Struthio camelus: one gene and its partner. The protein of the gene in region 2 interacts with the protein of the main gene of each other region in a pairwise test. Links are inferred from orthologs where the notes say so. Each region holds a gene or a part of one and is shown on either strand. Other genes may lie near its edges.

Region 1 (10,027 bases), on a different chromosome or scaffold from region 2:
ATATGGAAGTTCACCTTGCGGTTGTCGCACGTCAGCAGGGTGGCCGTCGACTTGTTCAGGTCATCCCATACCCAATCAAAATCTGTTCAGGAAACATGCAGGGGAAAAACATGGGAGAATGCACTTGGGGAGCTATCATTGAGCCAACGCACGGAGAGCCGTTTGTTTTGAGGGCCTGTCAAAACTTTTTTTTAAATTGTTTAGCAGGGTAAATCCTAAGCCGTGCAAGCTGAACAGTTGTTTGAGGCCTCAATTATTCTACAGTGTCCCAACAGGGATGGTTCAGTGCTCTCTCCTGCCTGAGGCTGCCAGCATTAACCAGTTCTCATCTCAGAGCACAGGGTGGCCGTTGCAAAGTGGCTTCTCCAGCCTCAGCAATTGTGGTCCCCTCATTCCAGGTGCCGTTGGTGCACGTGGCTGGGCACAAGCTGAGAGCAGAAGGAGAGGGGGTGATACAGCTCTCAGGGCCTGGCAAACCAAACCCAGCCTGGAAGAGCAAGCTGCACAGTCACTCAGCTGGGCTCTAGTCACAGCAACAGCAGTGCAGAGCCACATGGAGCCCCGGGTTTCTTTGGGGGGAATCACACTCATTTCTTGTAGCCTCAAGGGGCTAAAGGCAGAGCACAAGCACCATGATAGCTCCTCTATCCTACAGGCTTTCTTGGTCAGGCCAGGCCCACCCTCTGCCTAGCTTTCCTCAGTTGCTCTGGGTAGACCCTGCCACGTATCTGGGGGCCTGCCAGCTGTACCAGGGATCAGCATTAACAGGGCTGTAACCACAAGGGCCAGTTTCCATTTGTGGCCTGAGCTAGATGTGAAAGCAGGTCTCCAGAGGTGAACTCTGATTCACCGACAGGTTCAGCCCTGAGCTCTTGAATCACCACAGAACGCACGGGCTTGTAACCTTCCTAAGTTCTGCACAGCCTTGAGATGTAAACAGAGGAGCACCGTATGCAGCGATAGCAATAAGGATCCCCGTGCACACCTAAGCATCTGTACGGGGGAGGTGGTCTGTGCCACCATTCAACCAACAGGAGGGGAGCCAGGACCGCACCCACCACGAACCCCAAAGGAACACGAAGGCCAGTTGAGGAGCCCCTTGCTTACACTCGTCCTCCTCGCCGCACTGGCAGTCCTTGACGCGGTGGATGGCATGCAAGCTGGAGCAGTAGGGAGCCTCATTCTGGTTCTCGCAGTTGCAGTAGGATTCTCCGGTCACGGGGATGGCGCTTGGGATGGAGGGCGAGAGGGAAGAAAACTCTGGCTCCGAATCCGAGTCGCTGTGCTGCCGGGAGAACAGAGGAACAGTCATTACTAAACACCCCCACAATCAGACAGCTAGACTCACAGCCAGCAGATAGGCCTGCTCTCCCTACAGCCAGGCTGCTCATGGGACACCCGCACAGCACAGAGCCACGTGGAGAGATCCCCAAGCTCGCTCCAGAGCCAGCAGCAGCATGGCTGTGTTGTGCCCAGGCCTGGCCTGTCCTGCACGGAGGCAAGGGGCTGCGCCAGTGAAAACACCCTGCTTCTAGGACCTGGCTAGTATCTGGCTGTGCTGCAGAGCTTTCCCCCCAAAACTGGGCAGGATCTCGTGGAACCAGGCACCGTACGATGTGGATATGCTCTTTGTGCCTTTGTAGCTTCCAGGGCCCTGCCATGTACAGAAGCCCCCATGACTGCGGGGGTTAAGGAGGTAGGAAGGGGCACAGCAGGCAAGCAACATGACAAGCTCTGAACAGTGCATGGCATACTTATTTAAGGAAACTCTGTGCTAGAGCTGAGGTTTTCAACATGCAGGTTACAGACTCCTGGGAGGACTGGAGGCCATATCCAAGGCATCACAAATAAAGCGCACACATATACAATGCTGTATGCAGAAACTATACAGCTCCAAAGGAGTCTGGGCCTCTACTGCCAAGCTAGAAGAGAGCCACACTGCTGAAAAACCTCTGCTCTAGAGAGACTAAGAACTGAAGGAGAAGACAGATAAACAAGACGAGAAGGAAAAGGGGAAAAAAGGAGGCCAGGCAGGGGAGCTGGCAGAACAAAGCAGAACCAGTTAAGCAGTAAGGCTGCGGCTCCTCATACCAGTACTGCAGACAGGCCCACAGGGAACCCACTGAAGGAGTAAAAGGCTTTTGTTTACTTTCATGCACGAACACAAAAACTTGATTTGCTATTCCCCAATGCCAGGAGACTGAAGTGTGCCTGCACTGGACGCTATAAGAGCTGTGTGCTGGCCCATGTGTTATGGGAGATTTGGTGTCACCTGCACTGGACGCTATAAGAGCTGTGTGCTGGCCCATGTGTTATGGGAGATTTGGTGTCACCTGCACTGGACGCTATAAGAGCTGTGTGCTGGCCCATGCGTTATGGGAGATTTGGTGTCACCTGCACTGGACGCTATAAGAGCTGTGTGCTGGCCCATGCGTTATGGGAGGTTTGGTGTCACCTAATGGAGTCTCTTACTCTAGACCTCAGCAAGTTACTCTGGGTTTGCACGCTGGTCAGATATACCTGCTTGTTATTCACCCTCACCCCAATGCCCATGGCAGATTTTGTAATCCCTGTTTAAAGGCAAAACCCTTTTAAACTCATGTTTCTTTAGCTGTGCAAGACAGTGGGACTTGAAATGACCCAGGCTTACTTATCTACTGCCAACCCCCCTTCTCCTTTTCTAAATCTGCCCTGCAGATTAGGGAGCTTTACTTCTGCCTTTCATTGCCCCTCCAGAACTACTGCTCTCTAGAGATCTGGCTGTTCCTATTACTGCAGGAAAAGCTACTCTGACAGCAGAGAAAAGGCTCCTTTTCTTGGAGTGCTGCGTAGAGATTCGGACATAGTGCTCTGGCAGTGACCTTATAACACTTGAGCCTATCTTTTAAGCATCCGGAGCAGCTCCTTGGGTTTCCACCAGTGCACACTGCTTGGGGATAGAACTCAACATACTCAAGGACTGGGGAAAAGGGGTGAAGGAGGCGGAGGTGAGTCTAATTCACTCCTTGCACTGTTTTACTGACTGCTTTCCCCACTGTATTCCTGTCCTCCAGCGTATCAGCATGCCAGGGCCAGATTCAGAAGTGATGTACACATTATGGGTTTGGAAGCATAAGGGAGTTTAAATTAGAAAGTATTCAAGCATGAATTGAATATGAAGCAGCCCCTGCTCCCTCCAGCAACAGCTGCATGAGGACAAGAAGTTAGCATGGCCATACAGCAGGCCAGACTGGAGAACTGATCTAGTTTAAACATGTATTTAGATCACTATTTAAAAAGTACATGTCAAAAATATTCTATATACACTACATACACACACTTTATATAGTTAAGAGAGAAAGTTTAGCTTAGTACCAATCAGTTCCGTTGGCCCAAATAACCACAAGGCACAGAGCTCTACTGCACAACGGCAGGAGCAGGCTATAAGCTGCTTAGCTAGCTCTTGTTGTGGAAAGATACGCTTGGGAGTCCTACACCCCGCGTTAGCGGAACTCGGAGCCAGACAAACAACTGCCTCCATCTGGTTAGAATGCCTGTAAACTTAGTAAGGGTCTTTTCCGATTTTGGGCCAGTTTTTTGGTGCGGAAATACTAGCTGCTCAATACACAGACCTTGAGCAACCAATGCCTGACGTCAGGGGGAGAAGGAAGGTTTCCCCTTGCGTCACTTTCAAGCTCTCCGTACGCTGGCCTGCCTACCTACCTGCCCATCGGAGTCATAGCCCCGGCCCCGTGAACCAGTGGCCAAGGCGACTGCCCGAGTGTCTGCGTCGCGGCGCACCCCGCTCAGGACGAAATGCCAGGCCCTGCTGTTACGCGTGCGTCGCGCCATGGTATTCCGAGAGAGGTAAGCTGTGGATGCCAAGGGAGAAGGGGTTACACACAGCAGCAGCGTTCCTCTTCCACCCGCCACTCACCCAGCTCTACCTCTGCAGCAACCTCCCCCAAGTCACCAGACCCCACACGGGAACAGATCAGCATGAACCGTGTCTTTACAGTCGCCATCAATGGACACAGTAGTAAAGTAAGTTCCTCTGGCACCACAGGCTTCTGCAGACTTCAACTTCTTCTGCCACACAGCGCACACTGCCTGACAAATACTGGGGTCAACTTCTCCCTGAGCCCAGCCACTTTGCTGGATCCCCCAAACCGTTCCTAGGATCTGGCAGCAGCTGCCATCCAGGATCTACCTGGCCTGAAGAGAGTCAGGATCACCAGTCATCAAGACACGGCCTCCCCTGTGCCCGCTAACCCTTGAGCAGTTGCTTGGGCTCTGACCGAACCGCTCAGCCCTCTGCACCACCCTGGCCATCGCTGCAGCCACCACGTGGGCCAAACTGCCTGCGCCCACCTGCTGCAAATGCTGTTTGTTCATCGCCAAGCAACTGCCTGTTCGGGCTGTGAGCAGGAGACACTTCAGCAAAGACTTTGCTCTCAGCATTTGGGAGTGGGGGAAGAGATTTCATTCCTGCTTGCTGAAGGGAAAATGCCCTTTCCGGGGGCCTGTCCCGACTTGCCTCAGGGACAGCAGACAGAAGCAAAGACACTCTCATGTCCTGAACTGAGCAGCAACGCTACGCAGAGACAGACTTACATGGCCCTGCAGCCAGCTCGACAGACCAAACACGCTCTCAGGCATCATGCCTCAGCTTTGCAGCAGATGGAAACGTGACAGCACAACTTTGATGTGCAAACTCATTTCTCCTGGAGTTTACTTTAGCCAAAACAGCTCCCCGCCGTGAGCTGTAAGCCGCCGCCTGCCTCCCAAACCCGCTCCCTCAGCTCAGCCCCGCCGGCTGGCCAGGCCGCACGCACGGGCCCACCGGGGCGGGCAGCAGCCCCCCCGCTCCCCGCCGCGCTCAGCTGCTTTGCGCACCCCCGCTCGCTCCACCGCTTCACCTTTCCCTGGGACAGGGCCTCGCACCCCGCCCGCGAGCCCCGGCCCCGGCCCGGCGCAGCGCCCGCGGCAGGCAGACATGCCGCTCCCTTCTCCCAGCACCGCGCCGAGCCCGGGGCTCCCGCCAGCGGCCGCGGGGCCGCAGCCGGTACGGCAGGGCCGGTACGGCAGGGCCGGTACGGCAGGGCCGCCTCGCCCGGCCCCGCACCGGGCCGGGCCAGGCCAGGCCCCGGGGGGCCCAGCGGCGGACGCCAGGGAGGAGCGAGGAACGAGGCCCGGCCCGGCCCGGCCCGGCCCGGCCCCTGCGCTCGCCGCCGCCCGCCCCGGGCCCCGGCCTCACCTGCCCGGCCCGGCCCGGCCCGGCCGCCGCGCTCTGACCTACTTTCCCCTCCCGGGACATAAACAATCCACACTTGGCCCCGTCCCCCCGCGCCCATTGGCTGAAGCCGCGCCGGATCCCGGCGGGAGGCGTTCGCGGTTGGCGGAGCGCCCCGCCGCTCACGGCTGCGGCGAGGGGGAGGGCGCGGCGGGGAAGGCGCCCGCCCTCAGCGCCACGCCACTGGCTGCCCTGCCTGCCAGTCGTAAAGACGGCGCGCCATTGGGCGGCGACCGCTGGCGGCTATCGCGCGCTGCGGGGCAAAGCGCTAAGCTCATTGGCTGGCCGCGACGCCCATCGAGACTGGAGGCTGGGGGAACGGGGGTGAGAGAGCAGCTTGGCGTAGCTACGGCGGCCGGAGAGGAGCGTGTGTGGCTCGCGATTGGGAGAGGTGCCTGCCACTCTGCGGGGGGCGGGGCTTCCGCCGCCGGAAGGCGGAAGCGAGGCGGGCAGCAGCATGGAGGAGGCGGTGGGGGGTGAGTGTGGGGCCGCGGCCGCGCCGCCGGGTGCTCCTGCCCTCCCCGCGGGGTGGGGGCTGCCGGGGACTGGCGCCGGCAGGGGCTGGGGGGGCTCCGGCCTCGTCCCGGCCTTTCCGGGGGAGGCAGCCCCGGGGCGGGCGGCGGGCGCGGGGCCGTCGGCCCGGCTCCCGGTGGGGGGAGCCCTAGGCGGGACGGGGACGGGCCTGGGCGGCGGGGCCTGGGCGGCGGGGCCCGGATCCCGGCGGCCGGAGCGCCGCAGCGGTGGGGCCTGGCAGGGGTTCGGGTCTCCCGGTGCCCGGCTCCCGCCAGGGGGCCCGGTGTGGCGGGGCCCGGCGGCGGCGGAGGCAGCGCCGGGGTGACCGGAGCTCCCGGGGCCGCCTTGCGACGCGGCTCCGCGTAACGCCCCGCCCGTCCCGCCCGCCGTTACCGTCGGTGGAGGTGCGGATGAGGTCCGCCATGGTGCGGGCGGTCTCCATGCGGGCGGCGCGGCGCGGTGCCGGGCGGCGGGTACCTGCCGGACGCCTGCCGGGGCTCTGAGTCAGGCGGGCGGCGGTGACGGGCCGCCCGGGAACGCGGGGCGGGTTGGGCGGCGCCTGCCCGCGCCGGCCCCCGACGCTGCCCCGCGCTCCCGGGGCTCCGAGCCGGGGACTCCCGCCGGCAGCGCCCCCCTCCGCCCCCCCGGCCTGTCTCCCCGTTAGCGCTTCCCGCGGGAGCCGGCGCCGGCGGGTTTTTCTCCTCTTTATTTCTCCCTCTTCAACTGTACTCCGCGTCAGAAGCTCGCGGCGGCAGAGCCCTAAGCGGGAGCCGCTCAGACCAAAACGCACGCTGACAGCGCGGCAAGGAGGCTCGAGGTGACCCGGGCCTCCCAGGAGGGCGAGCAGCATGGTGCAAAGAGAGGAAATGCCGAGGGGGTGATTTCACAGAAAGCCTCATGGCAATTCCTGCGAGGAGCTCAGATTAAAATCTGCTCCAGGCAAAGCGTGACAAAGTCCTTCTCTGGATGTGTATTACTTTGCTGCTTGAGTACTGCATAGGTCACCGGGTCAAAATTTTTACTCTCCACAGGCTCTTTATTGGTCTTGCTGTTGCTCTGATCTTCCCTTTCCTCATAGCAGAAGGTCTATGTCAAATCCACCATTTTTCTGCCCTGTTTTCTTATGCTTAAAACAAGCTTATTGATGTTGCATCATCTCATCTCAGCTGGTGACAGCTGCTGTTATTGTTTGCAGCACGTTACTGGCGCAGTGGAGGCTGGCTCTGAGCTGGCTGGTCAGGGCATTGCTGCCTGCACAACTTGAGGTCAAGAAGAGAGTCTGATGTCCTGTTACTGTTCTTCCTAGAGAGAAGTAACCTGGCAGGGGTGCGGCACATCCTCCTGGTGCTCTCGGGGAAGGGCGGCGTGGGGAAGAGCACCATCGCCACCGAGCTGGCTTTGTCTCTGCGCCACTCTGGGAAAAAGGTGAGTGAGGGTCTGTGGGATGGGGAGCTCTATGTGCTCTCCCTTCTGACCTCCATCTGGGCTTGGTTTTACTCAGCCTTTCTGCGTGTGTCTGTTCTGTGAGCACAGCGTGAAGATCCTTCATGGTGGAGGCTGCTGCCGTAAACAGAAGAGCTGTCTATAACAGAAACTTGAGTCCTTTTTTTTTTCCTGTGCTTACTTGATCCTGCACAGTCCAGCCTCTAGCAAATTGCACGGTTCACTTCCCCTTTACCCAGGAGACTAAAATGTTATTTTTGTCATGTGTAAAATGAAGGCACCAAGAAATGACTTGCTTTTTTTGTATGATACACAGCCACTTTGTGGAGTGAAGTGAGTGAGCTGAAAGACAGCATTACCGTGGGGGCAAAGGGGAGCTGCGTGGGCATGAGACAGACTGAGGATTTTTTTAAAGGCTCTGTGGAGCAGATGCCACTTAAATTCTGATAGGTCTCCTGAATAAAGATTTTCTTAAAGAGCCTCTAAATACCAAAGAGAGATTCCATGGAAGGATGGAGATCTGGGAGACCCTAGTCAAATGATACCAGTCAGAACTGGCACTTTGGCTTCTGAACTTGAGAGTCCTCTCTGTGAAGTGCTGAGAGCTGCTGGAATTCATGTGTTCCTTTCCCTTGCCCAAGGAAGGAGCGCAGCTGGGTGCTACAGTGGTGCTCAGGCCTATCTGAAAGGCTCTGCCTGGTCGCCTGCAGGTGGGGATCCTGGATGTGGACCTGTGTGGCCCCAGCATACCCCGCATGTTCAAGGTCCAGGACAATGACGTGCACCAATGCGACAGCGGCTGGGTGCCAGTCTTCGTGGACCAAGACAAAAGCATCTCACTGATGTCCATCGGCTTCCTGCTGGAGAAGCCAGATGATGCTGTGGTGTGGAGAGGACCCAAGAAAAATGGTACAGACCGTTTTTGCTCTTGGTAACAACCTTCCAGCGCTACGTGCCTTCTGCAAAACTTCCTGGAGCTGATGTTTGTTCTGTCCAGGGCCCAGGCTCTCCCAGACATGCTGTTCCTTGGCAGCCTGTGTTCAAACGTAGGCTGCAGTCTGAAAGCCTCTCTCCTGGGACAGAGGCCGGTGGCTTAGAGGCAGCTGATGTAAATGGCAGGGGGAGAGGCTGTGCTCTATCGCTGCTGGTCTCAGCTGAGACCTCATTAGCAATGAAAATATCTCCAATGTGGTAAGTCCATGTTACATTGTCTGGGTGGGTTAGGGCTGTCCCCTTGGCACACATCAGTGACCTGCTGCCTTAGTGAGGTCTCTGTATGTAGCCAGGTACTGTGGAGTCCAATTAGCCTTGGAGAGAGGGCTCCAAGTGACTTGGGGCAAGACAAGGCTCTTGCACTCCAGGGCTGTCTTCCCCTGTGTGGGTGCAGGTGGTTCAGGCTGTGCTGCATGTGCTCTGCTGACAGGTAGCCCTGCTCTCCTCTGTCCCCCCCAGGATGCCTCCTGACCACACGGCTCCCAGGACACTTGCTAAAACCTGAGATTTTTCACCCCTTTTATTTCTGCAGCTTTGATAAAACAATTTGTTGCTGATGTGGCCTGGGGGGAACTGGACTTTCTCATTGTGGACACTCCTCCGGGCACATCTGATGAGCACATCTCCACAGTGGAGGCCTTGCGGCCGTACAAGCCTCTTGGAGCAATCCTAGTCACGACACCTCAGGTAGGGCAGCGTGCTGGGTGACCTGCCCTGTCTCTGGGCTCGGTTGGTGGGGGAATATGCGCTCGAGGGTGGGTGTTTTCGCAGGCCTATCTGCGGCTACTTACTTTACATTTCTACCCCCGATGCAGCCACTGCTTGTCCCTCAGGACATCTCTGACATCTGTCAGTCACTTATGAGTCAAGGCTGCTCTCAAATCCAAGTTTGTCCGATATCTGCCTTTGTTTACACACAAGCCTGTACTCAGCCAGGGGCTGCCCAAGTGTGAGGCCAGCTGGAAAGGTGGAAGCTGAGCGCATCTGTCACTTCAGCGCAGGTCTTGCTGCAGCCACTGCCCAACCCCTTCAAACCGTGCAACACTGTCGCCCATCTTCCAGTGTGTTGCCTGTGGTCAGCTCTTCTGGAGTGCAGTGAGGACTCTTAGCCCAAGCTATGGCCAGCAATGGGGAGAGAGCCTCTCCCAAGCCCCCTTCTCTATGCGTGCTACAAACTGTCTGTGTGCGTGTATGCCTGCTCCAGAACTAGAATCTGGCCAGAGACAGACACCCCTAACCCTCGCCTGCTCTCCCCTGCAGGCAGTGTCTGTGGGGGATGTGAGGCGAGAGCTGACGTTCTGTAAAAAGACCGGTTTGCGAGTTCTTGGGATCGTGGAGAACATGAGTGGCTTTGTCTGCCCGCACTGTTCGGTGAGTTTCTCGATACTGCTGGGCTGTTATGGGTTCTTATTCATGATATGGCTGTTATATGATCTGGCACCTCAGGCTGCAAGTCAGTGAATGCTGTGAGGGGCGATGCGGTGTCCTGGGAGATGAGAATCTCCTGGCTGGAGGTTTGGAAGAAGCTGCCAGCTGTGCTTTCCTAAAGAGAGCTGTGGGAGGGCAGGGGCGAACACAGTGCCCTGAGGTTAGAAGGTGGAGGAAGTTAGCTTCGCTCACACCCAACCAGCGCCTGTCCTGTTGCACAGGGCTCTGCCCACTGGTGTTTATGACTAACTGCTATTTCTTTTCCTCCTTTAGGAGTGCACAAACATCTTTTCCAAAGGGGGAGGTGAAGAATTGGCCAAGCATGCTGGGGTCCCTTTCCTTGGTGAGTGGCCTCTTGAGCAGAGCCCTCCTTGGTTA
Region 2 (9,514 bases):
AGCTGGGGCATCCCGTACACCCGGCCTCGGGGCATCCTGTGCACCCATTCCTGGTGCGTCCCATGGGAGCTGGGGCATCCCGTACACCCGGCCTCGGGGCATCCCGTGCACCCATTCCCGGTGCGTCCCATGGGAGCTGGGGCATCCCGTGCACCCATTCCTGGTGCGTCCCATGGGAGCTGGGGCATCCCGTACACCCGCCTCGGGGCATCCCGTGCACCCATTCCCGGTGCGTCCCATAGGAGCTGGGGCATCCCACGCACCCGGCCCCAGTGCATCCCACGCACAATTCCTGGTGTGTCCCATGGGAGCTGGGGCATCCTGCGCACCCGGCCCCGGGCAATCCGGCGTACCCATTCCCGGTGCGTCCCATGGGTGCTGGGGCATCCCGCATGCCCGACCCAGGGCATCACGAGCCGGCGCATCCTGCCCACCCGGCCCCAGCGCCCAGCACTCACGGAGTCCTTGAGGGCCAGGAAGCAGTGGCAGATCCAGCGGCGCGTGGTGCCATCCCGGCAGATGTAGGAGAAGGCCTTGTCAAAGTTGCGGTCGGGGGCACAGAACGAGACCTTCTCGATGGTCTGGTCGACGAGGAGGTCCTGGGCGAGGAGGGGGACGCGTGAGCCGGGGCCGGCTCCCGCCGCGCCGCCCTGGCTGGGGACACCCAGGGCACCCGCTCACCTTGGTCTTGTCGTCCACCACGCGGAGCCCGTCCGCCGACACCCACAGCACCGACTTCACGGCTTTGCGGCCGCTCTGCAACGAGCCGGCATCAGCAGGGCGCCGAGGGACCTGGCCCCGGCGGGATGGGAGAGCAACCCGTGGGAGAGGGACAGGCGTCGAGCCCCTTCCCGGGCGGCCTGGCGCTAAGTCCACCAGAAATCCGGCAGCGGTGGGGCCCCGCCGCGCGCCCGGCCCTCGCAGGGCACTCACCGCCTTGAGCTTCTTCACGGCCTCCTCGCACACGTGCATGCCCCGCGACTCGTCCACCTCCGCGTGCCCCAGGTACTGCAGAGCAGGGCGTCCGTCAGCACGGGCCGTGCCCCTGCCCCGAGCGCCCCGGCGGCCCCCTGCCCCGGCTGGTGCTTGGCCAGTGCACGAGGACCCACGTTGGGCAGCCGGTGCACGCCCCGTGCATAAGGACCTGCGTCAGGCAGCCGGTGCACACGCCATGCACGAGCACCTCACCCCGTGCACGAGGACCCACGCCAGCTGGCCGGTGCACGCCCCGTGCACGAGGACCCACGCTGGCTGGCCAACGCACACCCCGTGCACAAGGACCCACGCCGGGGGGGCGCCCGCGAACGCTGGCGCGGGCAGAGGCCGCCCCGGGCGCGCACGGCCGCCCCGCACGCTCACCCGCACGGGGAAGCTGCACTTGCCGCGCCGCACGGCCTCCTCGTCCGCCTGCCATTGGTGGGGCCGGCTGGCCTCCGGCACGTACGCCGGCTTCTTCCGACGCAGGCTCTGGCGCAGCTTGTTCATCGCTGACCCCGCAGGCCTGGGGGGGGGACAGGGGTTGGGGGGGTGAACAAGCCCCCCCTGCCCCACAGCAGGGCCAGGACGCCTGGGTTTCCCCCTTCCTCTATGGGGTGGGAAGGGTAAGAGGGTCTGACACCCCCCCCAGCCCCCACCCCAAGCAGGGACCAGGGTGGGGGCAACGGGGGGGCATCCCCTAGCTCTCCCCACCCAGGCAGGCTGAGCACCCATGGGTGGGCGCAGCAGCCTCTCCCAGTGATCAAAGCTGCACTGGGGACCGGGGGGGCCCCATCTCCTCCCGCTTTGATCTCGGCAGCTCCAGACTGAACTGGGCCATCGCAGGCTCCCCCCCCCCGGGTATATTTAGCCCAAGGAAGGGCCCCCCCCCATGCTGGCACAGCTCAGCGGGGACGCCGCGGCCCAGGGGACGTCGCGGGGGGCACATGGGACACCGCAGCCAGGGAAGGCAAACTGTGCCTGCGCCGCGCAGCGCTGGGAACGGGGCCGGGGGAGCGCCTGGCCCCCGGGCGCAGCCGCACTCCCCCCGGCTCCCGCTGCCAAACCCCCCCCCGGGCTCCGCGCCGGCAAACACCGGCCTCGGCGGTTGTTTCCTCAGCTGCTGCCCCGGCCCCACGCGGAGCGCCAGGCCGGGCGGGGGGCGGCCCCGTGCTGGGCGTCCCACGGCCCCCCAGCCCTCCCGGGGGCAGCTCCGCCGGCCCCTCGTCCGGCTCCGGGACACGCAGCGACGGGGGGCGGGCGCCCTGCGCGGGGAAACCGAGGCAGGCGCCGCGGCTGCTCCGTAGCAAAGGCTGGAAGAGGACCCAGGCGTCCTGGCCGCCGCCGCCGGGGCGGGGGCGCTTCGGGGGAATCGTGGCTCGTTAATGGACAGTAATATTTCCCGATCGTTTCCTGACTTCCTGCCTCGGCCTGGCCGGCTCGGCCACCCGCACGCTGCGAGCACGGGGGGCACCACCCAGGGCGGCCGCGGCCACCACCCCGCGCGCCCCGGGGGGCCGGGCTGCCGGGGACCCCGCAGCGGCACTGGGGTCGCCCCACCCCAAGGCCCCTCGCGCACCCAAGGCCTCGGTGCCGGCGGGATGCCGGTGCCGCCCCGGCCGCGGCGCTCGGGACGGCTCCTCTTCGCCTCCCGGAGCCGGGGAACCCGGGAGTCCTGCCGCTGTCGGGGCCCAGGCGTCCGGGCGCCCTCACCCCGCCGCAGCTGGGCAGGGAGGGGAGCCCGGCAGCGGCGTCACGCCGGGCGCCCCGGGGCGCTGCAGGGCCGCTCCCGTTATCTGCCTGCCCTGGGGCCGAACGCCCCCAAATCCCCCGGACGGGGGGCCCCGCACCCGGCGCCCAGCGAGGCGAAGGGGGCAAACCCGGCCCAGCCCGCAGCACCCGCCGCCGAGAGCTCGCGGGCAGGGGGTCCCGCCTGCCCTCCCCGGGGCGCAGGCAGGGCCCAGGCAGCGAGGGGTGGGGGCGTGCAGCCCGCTGCCCCCCGCCCCGCAGACCCCCCAGCCCCACCCGCCAGGGCCTCGCGGCCCGGCCGCGCCGCAGGTGGCCCCGGCTGCCCCGGGCCCCCACGGCCACGTGCCCCCCCCTCCCAGGGCCACGCTCATGGGGCACCGCATCCTGCTGCTCCTGGCCCCCCCAGGCCCCCCCAGGCCCAGCAGGGACACCCCACGGCCTCCTGCCAGGGACACGCATGTCAGCCCCACCCAGTGCCACACTCATGGGGTGCCACGTCCTGCTGCCCTGGCCCCCCCCAGGACGCCCCACGCGTCCCCCCCACCCAGGACCACGCGCGCGGGACGCCTCCCCCCCGCGCCCCGGCCCCACAGCCCCCTGCCAGGTCGCAGGATGCCTCCCCCCCTCCGTGGGGCCGGGCCTGCGGGCTGCGGACGCAGGACCCCACGCGTGTCCCCCCCCTCCCGGGGGGCCACGCTGCAGGGGGCTGCCGAGAGCAGCGCACCGTGGGGGGGGGGGGCCGAGGGGCAGCAGGGCCCGGCCCGGCAGCAGCCCCCACCCCTGACTAAGCACCGGGGGAGCCGCCGCGGGGGGGGGGGGCAGCCATGGCCGGGGGCAGCAACAGCAGCCGCAGCTGGCGGGGGGGAGCAGCTGCCCCGGGGCCCCCTCCGCGCCCGGACGGGGTTGGGGGGACACACACACACGGCTGCCGCTGCGACCCCCCCGGGGGAGATGCAGCCGCCCCGGTGTCCCCAGGGTGGGGGCCCAGCCGCCCCCGGAGCCCGGAACCGGGGGAAGCGGGGTGGGGGGGGCCGGTGCCCCCGGCCTTACCCCGCCGCAGCGCCGAGGCTCCGCTCCGCTCCGGCAGGACCCGCCGCCGCCCCCGGTCCCGGCGCCCCCCCCCCCCCCACCCCGGGCCGGGCTGTGGCTACAATGTTGCACGCACGCGCCTTCCGCTTCCCGCCCGCGGCCACGCCCCCCTCATGCATATGCAAACGAGGTGTTCCCCCCCCCCCCCCCCCGCGGCGGCTCCCCCAGCCCGCCGTGGCGCGGGGGCGGGCGCACCGCAGCGGTATGCAAATATCCTCCTTGGCCCCGCCCGCCCCGAGGCCACGCCCACTCCACCGCCCCATTCGCCCCAACGCGTGAATATGCAAATGAGACGCCCCCGTCACCGCCCCCCCATTGGGAGGGGCGCAGGCGAGACCACCACAGCCCCGCCTCCATTGGCGCGAGGGCTCATGAATATGCAAATTAGATCGTACCTGATCACGCCCACTCATTTAGATGGAGGCCCCGCCTCCTCCATCTGGTTCCCTCATACACGCAGCTGGGTTGTCCCCCCCCAACGCCAAATCCCCCCGCCCCACCAGCCTGCCCCAAATCACGGACCTCCCGCCCCAAAACTGAGCCCCCACAACCAGCCTGCCCGCCCGCCCCAAAACACAGACCTCCAACCCCAAATATGGACCTCCTGCCCCAAAACCTATTCCATACCACCAACCTGCCCCAAAACACAGACTTCCTGCCCCAAAACCAATCCTGTACCACCAATCCGCCCCAAAACACGGACCTCCTGCCCCAAAACTGATCCCATACTACCAACCTGCCCCAAAACACAGACTTCCTGCCCCAAAACCAATCCCGTACCACCAATCCGCCCCAAAACACGGACCTCCTGCCCCAAAACTGATCCCATACTACCAACCTGCCCCAAAACACAGACTTCCTGCCCCAAAACTGATCCCGTACCACCAACCCGCCCCAAAACATGGACCTCCTGCCCCAAAACTGATCCCATACTACCAACCTGCCCCAAAACACAGACTTCCTGCCCCAAAACCGATCCCGTACCACCAACCTGCCTCAAACACAGATCCCCTGGAACACAGACACCCGCCCCAAAACAGACCCTCCCAACCCCACAAGATCCCATAAAACCACCCCAAAAACCAGGCTACAAGGTCACCCCGGCTGGGCACAGCCTGCCCCAGCTCGGGGGAAAGTCACCGTCTTTATTGCCCGCGGCGGGAGGAGGGAGGCTGCACGCGGGGCCGGGACCAGGACTGGGGCCGGGAGCGGGGCCAGCAGCAGCGTCACGGGGCCAGTCTGGAGGCCAGTGGCGCACGGGGGGGTCCAGGGAGACCCCAGTCCTGCTCCAAGGGTCCATGGGGGATCCAAGGAGACCCTGGTCCTGATCCAAAGACCCTGGTCCTGCTCCAAGGGTCCGCAGGGGATCCAGGGAGACCCCGGTCCTGCCCCAAGGGTCCATGGGGGTCCAAGGAGACCCCAGTCCTGCCCCAAGGGTCCACAGGGGATCCAGGGAGACCCTGGTCCTGCCCCAAGGGTCCACGGGGGTCCAAGGAGACCCCAGTCCTGCCCCAAGGGTCCACGGGGGTCCAGGGAGACCCCAGTCCTGCCCCAAGGGTCCACGGGGGTCCAGGGAGACCCCGGTCCTGCCCCGGGGCGGCTGCCCTGTGCCGAGTCCCCGCGCGGGTCTACGGCCGCGGTGCCCAGTACCGCGCGTAGAGCTCCTCAAACATGTCGCGGCAGGGCACGCGGGCCCGGAGCCGGGCGCACACCAGGAAGGATCCGGCCATTTTGCGGTGCAGGGAGTAGGTCTCCTCCGGGGGCGGCGTGAGGCGGTGCCGCAGCATCACCGGCACCAGGGCCTGGATGCGGCGCGTGGTGCTCTGCGCCCCGAAGTCGAAGGGCCCCGCCGAGGAGAAGGCCTCGCCCAGGATCATCACAGCGTCCACGTGGGCCGCCTCGAAGGCCTGCCGGGGCGGGCACGGTTAGCGCCGGTGGCGGGGAGGGGGTCCCGGACCCCCCGTCCTCCACCCCGAGAGCCTCACCTTGGTCTCAAACCCCGTCAGGAACTTCAGGTCTTTGGATTTCTGGAGCACCTTGTCCCGGTCCCCGTCGGCCGCGGCCCTCACCACCTGCCGGAGGGAGGGCGTGAGGCGAGCCGGGGCGGGAGGGCCCCGGCGTCCGGCCACGCGAGCGCGGCCCGTACCTCGATGTAGTGGTCGGTGAACTCCTTGCCGAAGGAGCGGCTGGCCCCGAAGTCCAGCAGAGCCACCTGGAAGGCAGCAGGGACGGGGAGACGGACGCTGAGGACGGACAGGCCGGCCCCGCGCTCCGCTCCGCTCCCCTCCGAGAGCTGCCGCCGCGTCCCAACCCACTCCGCGGCGCAGCGCTTCCCAGCAAGCGGAGCCCCTCCGGAACTCATCCCCGGGGCCGGGGGACGCTCTGCCCCGGGCCGCAGCGGGGAGAGGAGGAACCAGAGGGAGCGGAGACCCTCAGTCCCGGCCACGCGAGCCGCGACCCGCCGGCGCAGCACGAAATTCGCAAGGCAGGAAAGCGGAGCTGCGCCTGCTCGGCCGGGACGCGCCGGGGGAAGCGGGCGCCCGCGGGGCCCCGGCCGACCCTCGCCCCGGGACAGGGCGGCCGCCTCACTCGGTGCTTCCCGGCGTCGTAGAAGAAGTTGGCCCAGTTGGGATCCGTCTGCATGAAGCGAAACTCGAAGAGCTCCCGGAGGCAGAGGCGCAGGATGTTGGAGCAGATCTGGGGGGCGAGGGATTATTTTGGACGAGAGAAGAGCAGGGCTTGCTCCAGGCAGGTCCCAAACCCGCGGGAGGGACGCGGCGGGGGCTCGGCCGCCGCCTCGGCACGAGGCGAGAGCAGCTTTCGGCACCGCGCTCCAAGAACCCAGAGGCGCCGGGTCCTTCCCGGGCCCGGCCGCGACCCGGCTGCTCGGGGACCACTCGCCTCGTCTCGGACGTCCTGGCTGAGCTCCAGGCACCGATCCAGGGGGACGCCGCTCACCAGCTCCATGGACAGCACCCGGGCCGTGGTCAGCTCGTCGATGACGCGCGGCACCGCGAAGAAGGGGTCGTCCCGCAGCAGCTGCCTGGGGGGGCGGCGGAGGCGGCGGTGCGGGGAGGGGCTGCGACCGAGCCGCCCCCCACGCCAGCCCCTGACGGCCCCCGCCGCGGCGGTACCTGAACGTCCGGGCGCAGCCGGCTTCCCGGTGATAGTCGCATTCCCACTCCAGCTCCTTCTGCAGGACCTGCAGGGTGTTGTCAGCGAAGAGGCCTCGGGGAGGCGCGAGGATTTAGGGGGCAGGCAGCGGCCCCCCCAGAGCGGGCAGGGGCCCCTCCCCGAGGGCAGGCGCTGGTGGGGTCAGGCCCGGGGATGTCCCTTCTTCCCGGGGCTCGGAGCTCACCTTCCGGCAGCGCGACGCTCATCTTGAGCAGCGAGAGCAGGTTGTCCACGTCGCTGCGGATGCTCTGGGCGATGCCGGGGTACTGCGGGGAGGCACGGGAAAGGGTGGACCCGGGGGTCGCGGCGCCGGGGACGAGCCCCGGCTCCCCCCAGCCCTTCGCTCCCCGTCTCCGACGCTCCAGCGCTGCCGCGCCTCACCTGGATTTTCACGGCCACCTCCGTGCCGTCCCGCAGCACGCCGAGGTGCACCTGCCCGATGGAGGCGGCCGCGAAGGGCGTCTCCTCGAAGGCCGACATCTTCTCCCGCCAGGCGGGTCCCAGCTCCTCCGCCAGCACTTGCTGCGGCACAGGGAGCGGGCGGCACGCGCGCTGGGACGCGCACGCCTGCGCGCTGGGACGCTCGGGCTGCCGCCTCCCTGCCCCAGGCCAGGGGAACGCGACCGCCGGGCGGCACCCGACGCGAACCCGGGGCTCCCGGGCCGAGCAGCCCCGAGGCAAAAAATCCTCCAGCCGCCACCGCGAGGCGGGGAAGGTTGGGAGCGCCGGGACGGCTGGGTCGTCCCGCCGGTGGCGGGGAGGGAGGGAAGGTCGCGGGGGGGCCGGCGCGTGCTCGGCGTGGGGCACGGAGCTACTCACGCTCGTCTGCCAGCTCGGCATGAAGTCGGCGCTCTGCCGCACGCGCTCGAAGATCCTCTGCAGCTGGGGGCTGAGGAAGCTGCTGTCTGCGGGGAGAGGGCGCGTGCCGGAGCCGGGGCCCAGCCGCAGCCACCCCAGGGCTGCCCGGCGCGGGCCCCCCCGGGGGGGGGGCGGTGGGGGGCACCCTACCTTGGATGCTCAGCATCTGCCCCAGCTTCAGCGCGGCGCCTCGCACCCGGCAGAGCGTGTCCACGATGCGCTCGGCGTTGGCCTCCGACAGGAAGGGGCTGGAGTCCAGCAGGGAGCCAGCGGCTGGGCGAGGGCAGCCCGCGTGAGCCCCCGCGGGACGGGCAGGGCCGGGGGGGCCGCCACGCAGGACCACCACCACGGGGGCCCCCCCCCCCGCCCCCACCCCGACCTGCGCCGGGCGCCGAGCCGCAGGCGCGTCCCGGTACTCACGGCTGGGCTGGCGCTGCCCGCTGAGCGTCGTCCGCGCCGCCTCGGCCAAGGCGCCCAGCCCCAGCCCCACGGCCAGCCCTGGGGAGGGACAGGGCGCGGGAGCGACGCGCTCGCCCCCCCAGAACCAGAGGCTCCTCCCGCCCGCCCCGCTCCTCCCGTACCTCCGAAGCTGGCCAGGCGGCCCAGGCGCGAGGCGGGCACCCTCCGCTCCCGGGCCCTGTGGCTGAGCTGCCCGGGGGAGGCGCGGGGCTGGCAGGGGGGCGCGCCGGGGGGGCACGGCCCTGCCCGCCCGCTCCCTGCCCTCGGCGGCGGCGGTCGCCCCCGCTCCTCGGCTCCCGCCTGCTGCCGGGCTTCCCGGGCCCGTCGGACGTCGTCGGGCGCCAGCGCCTGGAGGGCCGCGTGCCGGTGCAGGGAGCGCCCGGGGGGCGCCGCGAGCTGGGTGGGGAGGGCAGAGGTGAGGATCCCCCCCCCGCTTCCGCCCCACGGCGACCCCCAGGGCGTGGGGCAGGGCTGGGCACGGGAACGGGGGGTCGAAGGGTCCCCGTATGGGGGGGAGCAGGGGGTCAGAGGTCACAGGGTCTTTAAACAGGGGGAACCAAGGGGTCAGAGGTCTCTGTCTGGGGGGGGCCAGAGGTCACAGGGTCCCTCTCGGGGGGGGGGAACAGGTCAGAGGTCACAGGGTCCCTGTCTAGGGGGAACCAAGCGGTCAGAGGTCTCTGCTTCGGGGGGGTCGGGGGTCTCTAACGGGGGGGGGCATCAAGGACCAAGGTCAAAGGATCACGGCACGGGGGGTCAGAGGTCAGAGGGGACCAGGGGGTCAAAGGACTCTGCTTAAAGGGGTCAGAGGTCAAAGGGCTTCATCATGGCGGGGGGGGGGGCGAACCATGGGGGTCACATGAGCTCAGTGCGGCCGGGGGGGGGGGGCGGTGTCAGCGCTTGGGGCCAAAGGGTCTCTGTCCGGGGAGGGGTCAGGGGCAGGGGTCAGAGGTCAGGGGTCAGACTCACCCTCTCGCCGCCGGGGGGGCTGCAGGGGGCGGCGGGGGGGGTCCGGGGCCTCCCCGGGGGGGGTCGCAGCGGCGCCGCCCCCCCCGCGGCCCCCCGCAGCAGCGGCCACACGGCAGCCACCTGCGGGAGGGGTCAGAGGTCACGGCCCGCCCGCCCGCGGGGGGGGGGTCAGAGGGCAACAACGGCCGCCGCGCCCGCTCACCCCGCTCCGCGCCATCGCGCCGCTTCCGGGGTCAGCGGCCCC

The links.
Region 1: the proteins of NUMBL (region 2) and SPSB3 interact in binary tests that used the Homo sapiens proteins (3 or more experiments, as listed by UniProt). The two-hybrid records come from large-scale screens. The link is inferred for Struthio camelus from reciprocal best matches to the Homo sapiens genes NUMBL and SPSB3.

Annotation. Positions count from the first base shown.
Region 1 is NC_090956.1:17,458,260-17,468,286, forward strand, and holds the start of SPSB3 (SPRY domain-containing SOCS box protein 3), read right to left. Parts: upstream 4,564-10,027; 5' UTR 4,553-4,563; coding exon 4,351-4,552; intron 3,852-4,350; coding exon 3,703-3,851; intron 1,286-3,702; coding exon 1,108-1,285; intron 83-1,107; coding exon 1-82. Other genes in the region: cytosolic Fe-S cluster assembly factor NUBP2, read left to right, coding at 5,730-5,748, 7,092-7,210, 7,939-8,137, 8,754-8,908, 9,482-9,592, 9,923-9,992.
Region 2 is NC_090957.1:579,696-589,209, forward strand, and holds the start of NUMBL (numb-like protein), read right to left. Parts: upstream 3,901-9,514; 5' UTR 3,775-3,900; intron 1,502-3,774; 5' UTR 1,486-1,501; coding exon 1,360-1,485; intron 1,009-1,359; coding exon 934-1,008; intron 793-933; coding exon 682-792; intron 600-681; coding exon 459-599; intron 1-458. Other genes in the region: COQ8B (atypical kinase COQ8B, mitochondrial), read right to left, coding at 5,442-5,720, 5,799-5,885, 5,960-6,025, 6,403-6,510, 6,715-6,856, 6,948-7,041, 7,172-7,253, 7,369-7,892 and 5 more. UniProt on the Homo sapiens protein: Plays a role in the process of neurogenesis. Required throughout embryonic neurogenesis to maintain neural progenitor cells, also called radial glial cells (RGCs), by allowing their daughter cells to choose progenitor over neuronal cell fate.